2 linked regions of the Mus musculus genome follow. The protein of the gene in region 1 interacts with the protein of each later gene in a biochemical or structural test. Links are inferred from orthologs where the notes say so. Each region holds a gene or a part of one and is shown on either strand. Other genes may lie near its edges.

Region 1 (7,144 bases):
TTAACCTATCAAACAGCGGGCGAGGGGTCGCAGAGCGCTGCAAACCTCGGGGTTCCATGTTCAAAACGTTTAAGAATTAAGTCAAACCAAGGGAAAAGCGCCCGAGTGGAAGAGGCTTTGCATAGCTGGGCTAAAGTTTCATTCTAGAATCCAAACAGCTATACTGCAACCCAAGAAGTAAAAAGCTGGAAGAGGGAAACAGTACACGCTTAGGAGTAAAATACTGTAAGGAATTTGAAAAGACAACGTCTATAGAGCGATGCCATACACACAACCAGCTTCAAATTAAAAACAAAACAAAAACCCAGGCTGACCTTTGAACTCGGGATATCACCCTCAACTTTCGAAAAAACAGCCCAATTTCCAAGAGCATGAAATGTGAAAGCTTAATAGTAGTTCACCCCCTTTCTACCTTATGCTGACAACCAACTATCTTAACAGTCATGCTTCCAGCACGTTACTCGACGTTAAGGTAGTTAGTGTCTTTCCCCTCCCCTGCATGCCTTTTCAGGATTTTTCAGTTCTTCCGAAAGTCAGTCTTTCGAAAAATCACGTGCTCCCTGGTGTTAGAAGTTTTGAATTTCCGAGCTGGCCTAACACCCAGGTCCTCTTCTTTACCCCGTGAACACCCCCAAATGCTTCTACTTGGTCTCTGTTCGCTCAGATTCATCACCCCACTTTAGGAACCACACGAATTCTGCGGGTTTGGGATTCAGGATGGCAAGGCGTCCTAGGGAAGCCCGGAAGGAGACGAGGCTAGAGGGGCGGCAGGCTGGGCAGCGATGAAGGACCGCAACGCGATGGGGGTGGGGGAGACCTCACCCTCCACCGCCAGCCCCAAAAGCCGTGTGCTCCGCCGGTGGCCGCGCGCCCCTGCGCGGCCCCTGTCTAACCGCAGCCGGCGCCGCTGAATGGAAGGGCCGGAACGCAGCCATTGGCTGGCAGCTGAGAAGCCGCGCGTTCATTGGGCAACGCGAGGGGGCCGGGCCGCCTTCAGGAATGTACTACGGCGTGTCCGGCACGTCTGTCCGCGGCGGTAGGGCGCGCACACTGCCCGGGGCCAGGGAAGGTTGTGCGCACTGTGATGAGGGCTGGGGCGTGCTGGCCTCGCGCGCGGACCCTGTTACCTGTGCGTCCGCATCACGAGCAGGCCGAAGACAGGAACGCGCGGGCGCGGACGCGCACTAACGCGGGTGCGCGCATGGGCCTCTCGGTCCAGGTCACGTGGTGGAGTAGGCTCCGCCTTCTCCCCCACTCCTCCCCCCCCTTTCCCTCCATCTGGGTTTCTTTCTTTCCTTTTCTTTCTTCTTTTTTTTTTTTTTTTTTTCTTCAATGAACACACACCGTGTGCATCTTAAAGCCACACTGCCCCATTTCACGGGTTCATTTGACTCCTCACTACTCCGGTTCCTTCTGCAGTTCAAGTCGGAAAAGAAAAATAATAGGACGTAGCAGAATCCCGTGTTTCTGGGTCTGGTGTCTACTGCGGGGAGGAGGAACTTCAAAACTTATTGGAGAATGGAATGTGCTTTCTTAAGTGTTATTTTTTTTTTTTCTTAAAGAGCGTAGTTGTGTAGACAGTTTAATTTGTTGCTGGCTCCAACATTCACTCCCCTCCCCACTACGCATTTTTCTTCTTCTTGTTGTTTGTTGTTGTGAATCCCCTGAATGTCTTGGTGACACTGGACACAATATCAGGACAAATCGTAGCGCTCTATGAACAATTTGTTTAAAATGAATTCCACATCAAAGCCTTTATTCTCTTCTACGTCACGCTATTAAATGTTACAGGGTGTGTATCGAGCTTTATTTTGTTTTAAAGTTTAAAACTGACTTTAAGAATGTGATTAATTAATGAGGATCCAGACGAATTCCAAATATCAGGAAATCTCTCATTTCCATTTCTCTGGCCTGCTGAAAAGATTTGCTTTTTATATATTAAAAATTCAAATAAAATAGCAGACTTGTCTGGAGTCTCCTTATAGACGTTTTCAAATTGGACTGTATTGTGTATTGGAGGGGGGCGATAGAGGAGTGAGAGGGGTTTTTAAAAGGGCTGGCTTTTCCCAACATCCTTGCTCGCCTCTTTAACTTTCCATTTTGTTTATCTTAATACGAGGCGTTGTTCCCTGCGAGAGTCTAAGTCTTGCCTTTGGTTATAAAAGAAAAGAGGAGAAAAAAAAATTGGCACACACTGGCGCACTATCCACCACCCTGTCATTATTGGTGCAGGCCTGGGAATTCAAGCCGGACCTCCCAGTATTTGCTGCAGCTTGAGGCCAAAGTGCCTCTAAAAGGGTTTTCTTTGAGGAATCTCAGAAATTGTTTAAGCGCTTAAAAAAATATATTACCTATCCCTCATGTCTATTGCGAGGCAAATGCTCCTGTACGTGTGAGTGTGTGCGTGTGTATGTGTGTCTGTGTGTGTGTGCGCGCGCGCTCGCAAAAGGCGTCTCGAAAAAGAAGACACTGTTGAAAAGAAAAGAAATAAGAAAGAAAGGAGGGGGGAGCATTCCTTAATGGAAGTATTGCATGCGAGAGGGTTGGCGCTGAGCGAGCGCCCCCCCACCCCCAAGCCTGGGATGCACACACGGGGGTTGCCTACCTGGGTGGTCTCTCTACTTTGGTGAGCTGTTGCTAAGCAGCTAATAATAGTCATGTTTGCTGAGTAATTTCTGCCCTCCAAGAGCCAATCGCGTTGCAGAAACCCAAGCCATCTGACAGCCCCGGGGGCGGGAGTTCCAGCCTTTTTCTCTTTCGCTCGCTCTTTCCCCCTCCACCCCCTCCCCTCCTCCTCCTCTTTCTCCAAATGGAGAGAGTTCTTTTTTTTCTTCTTCCATCTCATCTATTGAGTCAAGGAGCTGCTGCGGCCGCTGCCCGCTGCACACACACAGAGCGGAGTCCCCAGGTCCCGGTAGCGAAAGAAGCGCGCGGCGCGGGGGCAGAATGGTCCAGCGGGTCGGTGAGGAGAACAAGAAAGCAGAGTCCGGGACCGAGCAGCCACCGCGAACCCAGCAGCCAGAGAGCGACCAGCCGTTTCAGAAGCCGCCACCGCCAACTCCAGCCGCAGCCGCAGCAGCACCAGCAGCAGCAGCGGCAGCCCCGGCCCGGCATCGTTGAGACTCGCCGGGTACCGTCGCGTCGCCCGCAGCGGGCGCCGAGGGAGCCGGCGCGAGCGGCGGGGGTCTGCGCGCGCCTTCTGCCGTGAAGGGGTCGCGGCGCGGGGCGGGGACGTCTGGGGGGGACTTGGGGACCGCGAGGCGCGCCCTGGAAGCGCCGGCTCTCGCCTTCCCGCGAGCTGGATGTGGGCAGCGGCGGCCGCAAAGACCTCGGGACTCACGCGCAATGTGGCAATGGAAGGCGCAGGGTCTGAGTCCCCGGCAGCGGCCACGGCCGCAGCACCCGCAGCGCCCGCCGTGTGAGCGGCAGCAGCGGGTCTGTCACCCGGAGCCGGAGTCCCCGGCGGCCAGCAGCGTCCTCGCGAGCCGAGCGCCCAGGCGCGCCCGGAGCCCGCGGCGGCGGCGGCAACATGGCCTCGGCTGGTAACGCCGCCGGGGCCCTGGGCAGGCAGGCCGGCGGCGGGAGGCGCAGACGGACCGGGGGACCGCACCGCGCCGCGCCGGACCGGGACTATCTGCACCGGCCCAGCTACTGCGACGCCGCCTTCGCTCTGGAGCAGATTTCCAAGGTGCACTTCTGTCCCCTCCTCCCTCTTCACTTTTCCCTCTTCTTCCTCCTTGGGATCCCTGCCACACAGACACACACACACACTCCTGAGAAAGCAGCAGACAAGTGAAGGTTGAAAAATTCAAACCCTCCCTCCGGACTTTGGAGGAAAGGGCTGTCTGAGGTCCGCAGGGGGTGGAGGGGTGCCTGTGTGTGTGCGTGCGTGTGTGTGGTGTGTGCGCGCGCACACGCCCTCCCTGGTGTGCCTTTTCCGGAGCTTTGGAAACCGTCCTGAGTGGACCACCTCCAGGGCGGCCGCAATGCGGCACTGCCTTCGGCCCCAGCGCCTTTCTCCCGCGCCCCTGCCCACGGTTGCAGCCTAAAGTTCGGCGTTGCCACATTTCTTAACCTCTTTGAGGGGGAGGCGGAGTGGAGAGAGGCGGAGAGAGACAGAGGGGAGGGAGCCAAAGTAAAGGTGGTTTCCTTTTTTGGCAGCCGGTTCTGCTTTCGTTGAGCTTGAAATCTCTGCTCCCTTAAAAATTATTCTCGGGAGAGGACGTCCCCTCTCTTCCAGGTCTTGGGCCGCCTCTTCTCCCAGCCTGCCGGGGAGGGGGGCAGTTGTAAACAAGTTGCCACCTTAAATCTTCGGTACGGGTGTGCGGAACGGCCGGGTTCATTGTGTTTACGAGGCTGGCTGAAATGTGTGGAATCCGGGGAAGGCAAGCACCTAGCCTGGGGCCCGCAGGGGCCCTGGCCAGCACCCCGGGCTCCGCCGCCCGGAGAGCAGCCTGCGCCCAGCCAGGACCCCCGCCGGCGCCGGCCTGGGCCTCTTCCTTGTGCACTCGGCTATTTTAAAGAGTTCACCAGGAGGGAATGGGAGAGGGAGGAAAGATCCTTGTGGCCGCCCTCTTCCGAGCACAAATAGTGTAAGTTGTAGATGGCTGCCGCATTTCCTAACTGAGCTCCCGCGGTGTCTCCTAAGGCTGTGGAAAAGAGTGTGGACCGAACTCTGGCTGCGGGGCTCACCACGTGGACCTCGCGTACAGCCACACCGGGGCCAGATGGACCACGGTTGCTGTAGATTGTCCCTAAGTGCGCTTGCGCCCTTCACTCGGCCTCCGGGGCACTGGAGGAGGCCACAGGCTGGAGCAGGACTTAGGGAAGGGGGGACGTTTCCTGGGGGTTCTTTAGTGTTGGGCTTCTCGGCTAGGATCACTCAGGCCCTCCCTCCAGGTCCCCGGTACTAAACCATGGCTGCTGGTGGTGGCTTCTCAGTTAGCCTCTCTCCCCAGCACCCCAAGTCTCATTCAGGACTGGCGCTCAGGCCACGCGTGGGGGCGCCCCCTGGTCCCTAGAGTACAGTTCCCACGCTGCAGTCTCACTGATTTACAACCAAGGCCCCCACGCCCCCAGGGCTTCCTCTGGATGGTCCTGGTTCCAGTCCGAGGGAGAGGCATTGCGCCGCGGGCGCCCACGCCCCACACTGCTGTCCAGAGGGGATCCCCGGGCGGGTGTGCGGGGGACAGCGATTCCCCGGCGTTCACTCCTCCCTTCTGCTTCGTCCCCAGGGGAAGGCTACTGGCCGGAAAGCGCCGCTGTGGCTGAGAGCGAAGTTTCAGAGACTCTTATTTAAACTGGGTTGTTACATTCAAAAGAACTGCGGCAAGTTTTTGGTTGTGGGTCTCCTCATATTTGGGGCCTTCGCTGTGGGATTAAAGGCAGCTAATCTCGAGACCAACGTGGAGGAGCTGTGGGTGGAAGGTAAGCGATCAGGCGCCGCTAGCGCGTCCTTCGTCTTCCTTCCCTTTACTGTGTTTGATGAAGATATTTGCCAGCATGCACCTAGAGCCTCCTTGTAGCCAACGAGAAGCCCTTGCCCGCACCAGGGGCGACTGTTTATTGTTTGCATGGCTGGCCAGTAGCCAGGCCCGCCCGACAAAGGCCGCGCTGTAATCTACTCGGGGCGCTGCGCTTTGCTAGGTGTGGTGGGAGAGAGTGGCGGGGGCGCAGAGGCCCTGCGCGGGACGGACCACTCCGCAGAGCCGTGGGGGTGGTCCCCGAAGCTCGCCACAGCTGCCTGCCTGGCTTTGGCCCGGGAGCCGCGGCCCGGGAAAGGCCTCTCTGATCCGGGAGCCTGAGCTCGGCTTCTTTACCCCCACCCCCCACCCACCCACTGTGTCTGCGGTGAAAGGAGAGGGGGGTGGAGGGCAAGGCCACCCCTCTGGCTGCAGGGAGTGTGCGCGCCCCCGGGGCGCGCAGGGGGCGGGCGCCTCGCGGGCCTGCGGAGGCGGCCGCGTGTGTGGTCCTGTTTTTGGACTGCTTTCAACTCTGGGGGAAAAAAACATTTGTCTCAAGGTACCAAAGGGGGGTGGGGGGAGTTGAAAAAAATAGTAAAGCACAAACTGGAACGCATGTTTGCAAAGTAGATTAATGTTTTCTCGCGGGTGGGGGGGCTTTTTAAATGGAATTATTCTTGGGGGTGGTTGCATTTGTTAAGCTTGCAAGTGTGTGTGTATTTTAAAAGAAAGCAAGTTTGATGGGAGGGGCCACGGGAGCTTCCCTCGGTGTGTGTGTGTGTGTGTGTGTGTGTGTGTGTGTGTGTCTTTTATCCAAGTGCCTCGATTTGGAAGGGGAGGGGTTGGGGACCTGCTTTATAAAAGGACTTGTAAATTGAAAATAGGTTTTCCATTTTTCCCCACCCCACCACCGTGGAATCTTTTTGCTCTTTGTGATTTTAGGCTTTCTTTTTTCCTTCGTTCTTTGTTAGTGTCTCAGTTATCTCTTTGAAAAGTACCAACCCCTTGTTTGAAAACATTTTAGCTTCTGGCAAACACTGCTTTGAGCATCAGAGTAGTTGGGCAGATGTTTCAACCCCAAATATTTGGTACATGCCTACTGCAAGCCACCCAGGACAGAATTTTGAAACCAGGGTTAATGAGTAATTTCTTAGGTCACCAGTTTCAGGATGCTCTTGGAAACTAACCTTCCAGAATATTCTGTTACCTTAGCTTTCACTATTTTTGCAAAACTAGTGGTGGAGTATTTAGTTGGAAAGTAACAAAATAATAATCCTAATCTTTAAGAGCAGAGCACATTCCTGCCTTGAGTAGCTTGGTTAATGAATACAAGTGTCTTTTGGATTGATTCCATTAGGTAATTTACCCCACTTTGCTTCCTTGTCATTGGTAGTTCAGAGAATAGTTTTATTGAGCACTGACTATGTCCCTGGCAACAAATTTCCTTAGTATCTCTAGTGTTCCTGACCCTGTGCTAGGCACTGTGATGGAGACATTGCACAGTGCCCTGTGCTTCAGACTACAGGAATTCAATGCATTTTCACTGAGTATAGGCTCCCACTTGAACTGTTTCATGAAAGTTAAATTAGGAGAAAAAAAGGCCTTAGTAGATGTCTTGAGGTAGGCAGGGGTACTGGAGAGACAGGAAGCAAGAGAGTATTGGCGGGAACAGGCCACCCCCT
Region 2 (6,503 bases), on another chromosome or scaffold:
AGCCTAGGAGACTAGCCTTAGGGTGGCGGGCCAGAACTGGAGCAAAGAGGAATCGTGGAGACTGAATACAGGGCTGTTCTCCCTCCATCTTCTCCCTCCATCTCCCTCATCTGCTCCCGACCACCTTAAATCTGGACCGCGAGTGTGGGCGCGCGCGCGCGGGGGAGCCGGAGAGCTGCGCGAGCTACAGTTAACTCTGCGCGGACCGCGGGGCGCCCGACTGGTGTGGCTTGAAGGAGCGAGTTCTCTCTCTGGCTCCGGGCACCCATCCCCTGGTTGGGTGCCCCGGGGGGGGGGGGGCGTCTCAGGATGAGGAGGTCCTTGGAAAGGTGTGAGGAGGTAAAAGATTACTGATGCAAAGAGGCCAGGCGTGGACACGTAGGGTACCTCAGCCCGGATGGGTCTGCAGGGGGGTCTTCGGCGGTCTGGCTCCGGTGCCCAGAGCGCCGGGCCTCTGCGTGTCGCAGAGCTGCAAGAGCGCTGAGCCACGGTAGACGCCTTTCAGCTCCACTTACTCCTGCGTTATCGATCCCGGGACTAGGGTTGCAGCGCGCTCGGGGGTTGGGGGTGGGGGCGAGCTCCGGCGGCTTGTCCCTGGCTCTGCACGCGCGGAGCGCGCCCCGCCAGAGCGCAGGGCTCCGAGCGCGCTCTCTCCCTAGGGCGCGCAGGCAGGGGTTGAGCCGCGAGGAGTCGCAAGGCAGGGAGCCCCGCGGGCCTGACCTGGACTGCAACCCCGCCGCCTTCGCGGCCCTTCGGCCTCAGCGCCCTAAACGGAGACCACCAGTTACGTCCTTTCCCTCACGCTGATCCTTCCAGCCCGGTACCCGGGGCTCAGCGGCCCTACACCGGATCACTCTCGCCTCCACCGCCGCCGCGTGCGCGCGCGCGCGCGCGCGCGCGAGCAGCATTTGAACTTCTGACCTTCTGTCAAGTTCCTTCAGACGAACGAAACGAAAACACATACTTTTTTCCCCTGGGCAGTAGCCTTTCTGATTCCCAACCCAAAAAGAGGGGGTAGAGACAGCAAAAGTGGGGGTGGGGAAGGCCAAGCCAAGGATCTTCTCACCCACCCTGCAAAAATCCACCAAAATAAGGGTGGCTGTAAAGGTGGCCGTCCAAAAATTTCCTCTTAGTACAACCCTCGGCGGCTTCTTATTCCGGCTTGGCAGAGTTAAGAGGGGATGGGAAGGAAGAAGGTGGCCAGACGACAAGACTAGAGGTAAAGGGTGAAGCGGGGTGGGGGAGGGGATAGGGGGGAGAACCTTGGGTCTCAGGAACCTGCCATTGGTCGTCCCCACCCTCCTTTAACAACCACCTGGTTCGGCCCAAGGTGCCACTCTCTTCAGTCTCTCCTGCCTCCCAGTCTGTTTCTCTAAGGTGACTGAGCCCAAGTCCCTCAACCATGGCAGGACCGTCCCCAGTGGAACTTTCTGAGCAGTTCTGGATCGCAGGAGCTCCTAGTTAATATTAACTCCGGAGAGGGAAGCGCAGACAGACACTCTTCCAGCACAGTCCAGGCCCCAGAGAGTGCCAGGCTGTTGTGCCCGCGGCCAAGGGGCTGGGGTGGGAGGCAGCGAGGGGCCTGATCTGCAGGCTCTGCAGGCTGAAGTGGGAGGGGGGAACACCTGAAGAGCCAGGTTGAATAATTTCCTACGTGCTTAGGGGTTAGTCAGGAAAAAGAGGCCAGGTGTGGGTTTGAAGAATAGTTTTCTGCTTTGAAGAGTTGGGTCTGTCCCCGCCCCCCAGTTAGGGGAAGAGTGGAGTGCATTTAGAGAACGGAGTCTCTTGAAGTGAGACACCACCTCCCTCACAATATGGGGAGCCCATCTTTGGATGTGACAGCCCCTGCTCTGAGCCCCTGGACTGCACTGGTGTAGATCCGGGAGGTGAGCTGGAGGCTTCAGGAACAACTTGGCCTCCGCAGACACAAAGCTGGGCCCCAGTGACCCTGCTGGGCTTCACGGTGGCTGCACAGAGTCGGGCTTGATTAGCGGCACACGACCCAATGAATTAATAACCGGGCTGAGCTTCAATTGCCTTGCCTGCGACATTCCCTCCCATCGCTGGCGGGGAGTACCCTGAATCTGCCTGCTGAGCTGCGCTGGGCCTGGTGCCGGGGAAGACTCTGGGGCACCAGGTACCAATTCGGTAACCATCAGAGTTGGCCTCTCCGCGCCTAAAGCCTGTCTCGGCCCAGAGCTCCTTGTCTGGGGTCCCCCGTGTCTGCTTTAGTGGCGCCGCTCAGGGTACTGGGCTCCAAAACCCTATCCATCCTACCCTCGCTCTTCCCTACTGCCGGATGGGAAGCTTGTTAAAGCCACATCGCAAGCTTTTCCCTCACCCCATTGAAAGAAGGGAGCGAGGTGAAGTGCAGGCTGGAATGAAGAAGGAGATAAGCAGAATGTACCACGGTGTGCGCCTGCGCGCAGCGGCTCTGATTCTCTATTCTAAACTGACCCTGGTTCAGTGACTGATTTTCATGTAAAACAGATTCAGTCCCCCAGATTGAACTCCAACTCGGTCCTTCGGACTTTCCTCTTCAGGAAAACCGCTGGCAGCCCAGAAACCTGCCAGAGCGGACCTGTTGTTACTGCATCCCTTCCATCTGTTGTGCTTTGAACTCTACAGCCCTGTTCTTGGGCCTTTTTGTTGCCGGAAAGACTTTTCCTGACACACACACATTTCTCTGTCCATGAAGGACTGAGCTGGCTACATCTAGAGCCCGGTCATCTAGGGGCTATTATCCCATCCCTGTAACCTGAGGGATCACGGGTTATCAGTCCTACCCTCTGCAGAAATTACTCCTGCCTCTACAGAGGTCCAGTTCTCTGGGTAATGTGCTCTTACCATGTTGTCTCCGCTCACAACCCCCAATCCAGCATGCCACCAGCCGCAGCATAACCTTGCAAGCACTGAGCTAGCCATCCACCACACACACTTGCCTCCTCTCTTTAGGACATCCGTTTCTTAATGTGGCCCCAGAGTAGTGCCTCCACTATCCCAAGTTCCACTGTGTCCTGCAAGGGAGGAGGCAGAGTCACCAGACCCTCTCTTGGGCAGGGCTCAGAAGCTGTGGGCTTTTCTGGCTCCCCATCCCCCTACCTTTCCCACCCCACCCCCATCCACTTGTTAAGTTTGCTCTTCAAACTTGCCGGACACCATTCTATGCAGGGCCAAGAAAACAAGAGGGGAGGAAGAGAACTAGTCAAAGAAAATAGGAACACAATCAGGCCCCAGACAAGCCTGGCAGAGAGGAGCTCCTTGGGGGAAAGAATGTGGCTGCCTAGACCAAGAATGTTTGTCCTCTGCCCTGCCTGTGCTGGACACCAGCATTAACCTGCTTGCTTGTCCTTGACCCACTGCCTACCCCTCAGAGTTGCTATGGGTTTCCTCAGGCCCAGCAGGTATAAGGGAGGCCTGACCTCCAAGATAACACTCCTGCTGCACTCTAACCCTCAGAGTGTGCCAGAAGTCCTGTCTCACCAAAGCGCACCTGGAATCTCATCTAAGGAGAAACCCCTCTTGTTTCTCAGGCCATTATAGCTACATCTAAGTTTCTGAGTTGGAGACAGGTGGTCAGTTGGTTCCCTGGAGAACCTGCCTCTCCAGCAGCCGCCATGCCCCACCCCCATGTTCTCATTCACTCAACCCCTGGGTCCTGGGCCTGTGGTTGGTGGAGAGACCACCAAGGACCATGTCTGACACTTAGGGTTCCCCCTTCTCCCCACAGAGGTGCAAAGACAAGTTAAATGCCTTGGCCATCTCTGTGATGAACCAGTGGCCTGGAGTGAAGCTGCGAGTGACCGAGGGCTGGGATGAGGACGGCCATCATTCAGAGGAGTCTCTACACTATGAGGGTCGAGCAGTGGACATCACCACGTCCGACCGGGACCGCAGCAAGTACGGCATGCTGGCTCGCCTGGCTGTGGAAGCAGGTTTCGACTGGGTCTACTATGAATCCAAAGCTCACATCCACTGTTCTGTGAAAGCAGGTAAGTGAGCCTTCTCCTCCTGGCCTTTCTCCATCATCCTCCCCCTCCAGCCTCTCCCACCAGAAGGTCTGGAGGAAAAACAGAGAGGAAGGAAGAGCCATAAAAAAGGGAGGAATGCTCTTGAAAATAAGTAGATCTCGGTGGTGGGGACATAGCTCATGACCCCTCCCCCAACCAGGTACTTCTGCAACCTTTCAGGCTACTGGCCAGCAACTCTGCATGGTCAAATTCCCAGACTGGTTTGTTTCCAGAGCCCCCTGCTTCAGGTAGTAGAGACAGAGGATGTCAGAGAGCATTGTGGAATGGGGGGAAGGAGGGGGCTTCCTGGTGATTACAGATATCAGCCAGAGCTTGCCTTGATCTCTTCTCTCATTTAGGGCTTAAGAACCTCCTGCCGCCCCTCCCCCCAACCCCATGAGCAGAAGGGTCTGTCCAGGGCATAAACCCGGGTACTGGCTCCTCCCTGCTGGGCGCCTGTGGATTCTAAACTAACTTAACTCACTCGCTAAGCGTGTGTTGGGAAAGGCCTGGTGGGAGGTAATGAACTCTTTACTTCCAACGTCGGGAGACCGCAAGCCTAGAAGCATCCGTTCTTATTAGGAGCCCAGCTGGGATTCAGAAAGTCCCTGGCAGGATTGCTGAAGGCGATCCCGCTGGAGCGGCTGCCCCCCAGCCAGCGCTAGGCGGAGTTCCCTGGGCCTGCAATGCCACGCGCTGTTGGGGGGTGGGGGGGGGGAGGTGGAACAGCTAGAGAGGCAGACAGCCAGCCAGCGCACGTGCAGTGGCCTCTATGAATTGTGTTGCCTGACAAGGCAGCTCACGGTGACTTTCCATAGACTTCTGTCCTCCCCGAGGCCCCCCACCCCAGCTTCTCAAGTTTCCTAAACTGTATATTAGCGACACAATTTAGTTGGAAATAATTTCAACGTCGAGAAATACTGAGTAGGTGATACTGGCTCTTGCAACAATAGCTGCCAATGATGCACAGGAGCGGTGGTGGCCTGTAGAAGAGGTCAGCTTCAGGAGTTCCACCTCACCAGGCTCCTTGCAGGACCCTGGTTCGGGAGCTCCTATTAGGCTGGGATGGGAAATACAGTTGGCGGGCCCAGGCCCTAAGTAAGCTCTTCCCTGGACCTTAAGTCTGCGCTGAACACGCAAGACTTCCCTGCCATCCCTGTTCTCGGAGTCCCTCTGGTAGGAATTCCTAGGGGATATCCTCCCAAATGAGCAGCGGTAATCCAGCCCGGAGGGTCTCGAAGGCAGTGCAGACCCCGGCCGGGGAGGGCAGCTCATTGGCATTCTACACACGCGGGCTGGGGCGCCGCGCCTTGTGTGTCAAGCGGGGTCGTGCGACTCGACGACTCCGGCTCGCCAGAGCCCCGGGTCGCATTCCGGGGGGCTACGGAGTGCTTCCAACGGCCAGCCCCACACTTCATGCCGGGGAAAACGATGAGAAGATTAAAAGCCTTCTGTAATTCCAGCAGAAAGATTCTTTCTGGCAATCTCTATTTGCCAAAAGCATGATCCTGGAGATTGGAATGCAAAGAAGACTAGGACCTCCCCACCCCTCCTCCCTGGCCCCCTGCGCTCCGCCCCATCCTCAATTATTGTCCTCCCGGACAGTGAGCCTTGGAGAGCTACGGAGGGCTGAGTAAAGCGGGTAGTCAAGGGGCCTTGAGAACCCGCGCTTCCAGCGCTCAGAGCAGGCCTGGCCATTTAAAATTCAAATACACATCTCGAGTGCTTGGAAAAGAGGCCGGGCTGTGCAAATAGTGCCTTGTGAGTGAACTGCACGAGGGGGAGGGGTTTGCACCTGAGCAAATAGGGAGGGGGCGGCCAGCGAGCTGTAGAGTGAGCTGAGAATGGGGAGAGGGGGTTGGAAGTATCCCCTCTTCCGAGGCTGTCTCCTATTTATCCCACAAATCACAATGACAATATCCCACAATACCAAGCTCTTTATTGGATTTTAATTAGAAAATCCACACAAGTCTCGGGCTTTCACACCTCGGGCAAACCTCTGGAATGTTTGTCCAGTTGCTACAACGACTACTGCTATATTTCGCTTTCGGCTCCCTGGCCATCCACCGACCAACACCAAGTCCCTCACTGGGGAAGCGGGAGGCGGGGGCGGCTCGGGTTCCCGCGGCGCAGCCTCCAAGCACTGCGCACAGGGAGGCGCTGCGCCCTGCTGTCCGGGCGCGAGAGAGGAGGGTGCGCCTGGCGCCCGTGCGAGCTCAAGGAGGCTTCCTGAGGAATCCAAGTGGAGAGTAAATATCCTTCTGGGTTTGCGACGTGGCTGGGTGCAAAGAAGGGGAGGGAGAAGGCAGGGCCCCAGGCTGGAGAAAAGCTGGGAGTGTCCCGTGCCTCTTGGAGCAGACAGCCGGCTAACTTTTACCCAGCGGAGCAATCTTGGAGGGTCATTCAGGAATGCGCCTGAGTCTGACTTTAGCTATTGGAGCGCTGGGGTTGTTGGCATAGGGCAGTCTGCGCCGGGCCAGTCTAGATCTACTC

The links.
Region 2: the proteins of Ptch1 (region 1) and Shh are reported together in a solved structure, tested with the Homo sapiens proteins (5 studies listed by BioGRID and IntAct, with this or other methods). The link is inferred for Mus musculus from reciprocal best matches to the Homo sapiens genes PTCH1 and SHH.

What each region holds. Positions count from the first base shown.
Region 1 is NC_000079.6:63,561,906-63,569,049, reverse strand, and holds the start of Ptch1 (protein patched homolog 1), read left to right. Parts: upstream 1-3,314; 5' UTR 3,315-3,529; coding exon 3,530-3,688; intron 3,689-5,234; coding exon 5,235-5,427; intron 5,428-7,144.
Region 2 is NC_000071.6:28,458,811-28,465,313, reverse strand, and holds part of Shh (sonic hedgehog protein precursor), read left to right. Parts: intron 1-165; exon of another isoform or gene 166-309; coding exon of another isoform or gene 310-339; intron 340-3,730; coding exon 3,731-3,992; intron 3,993-6,503.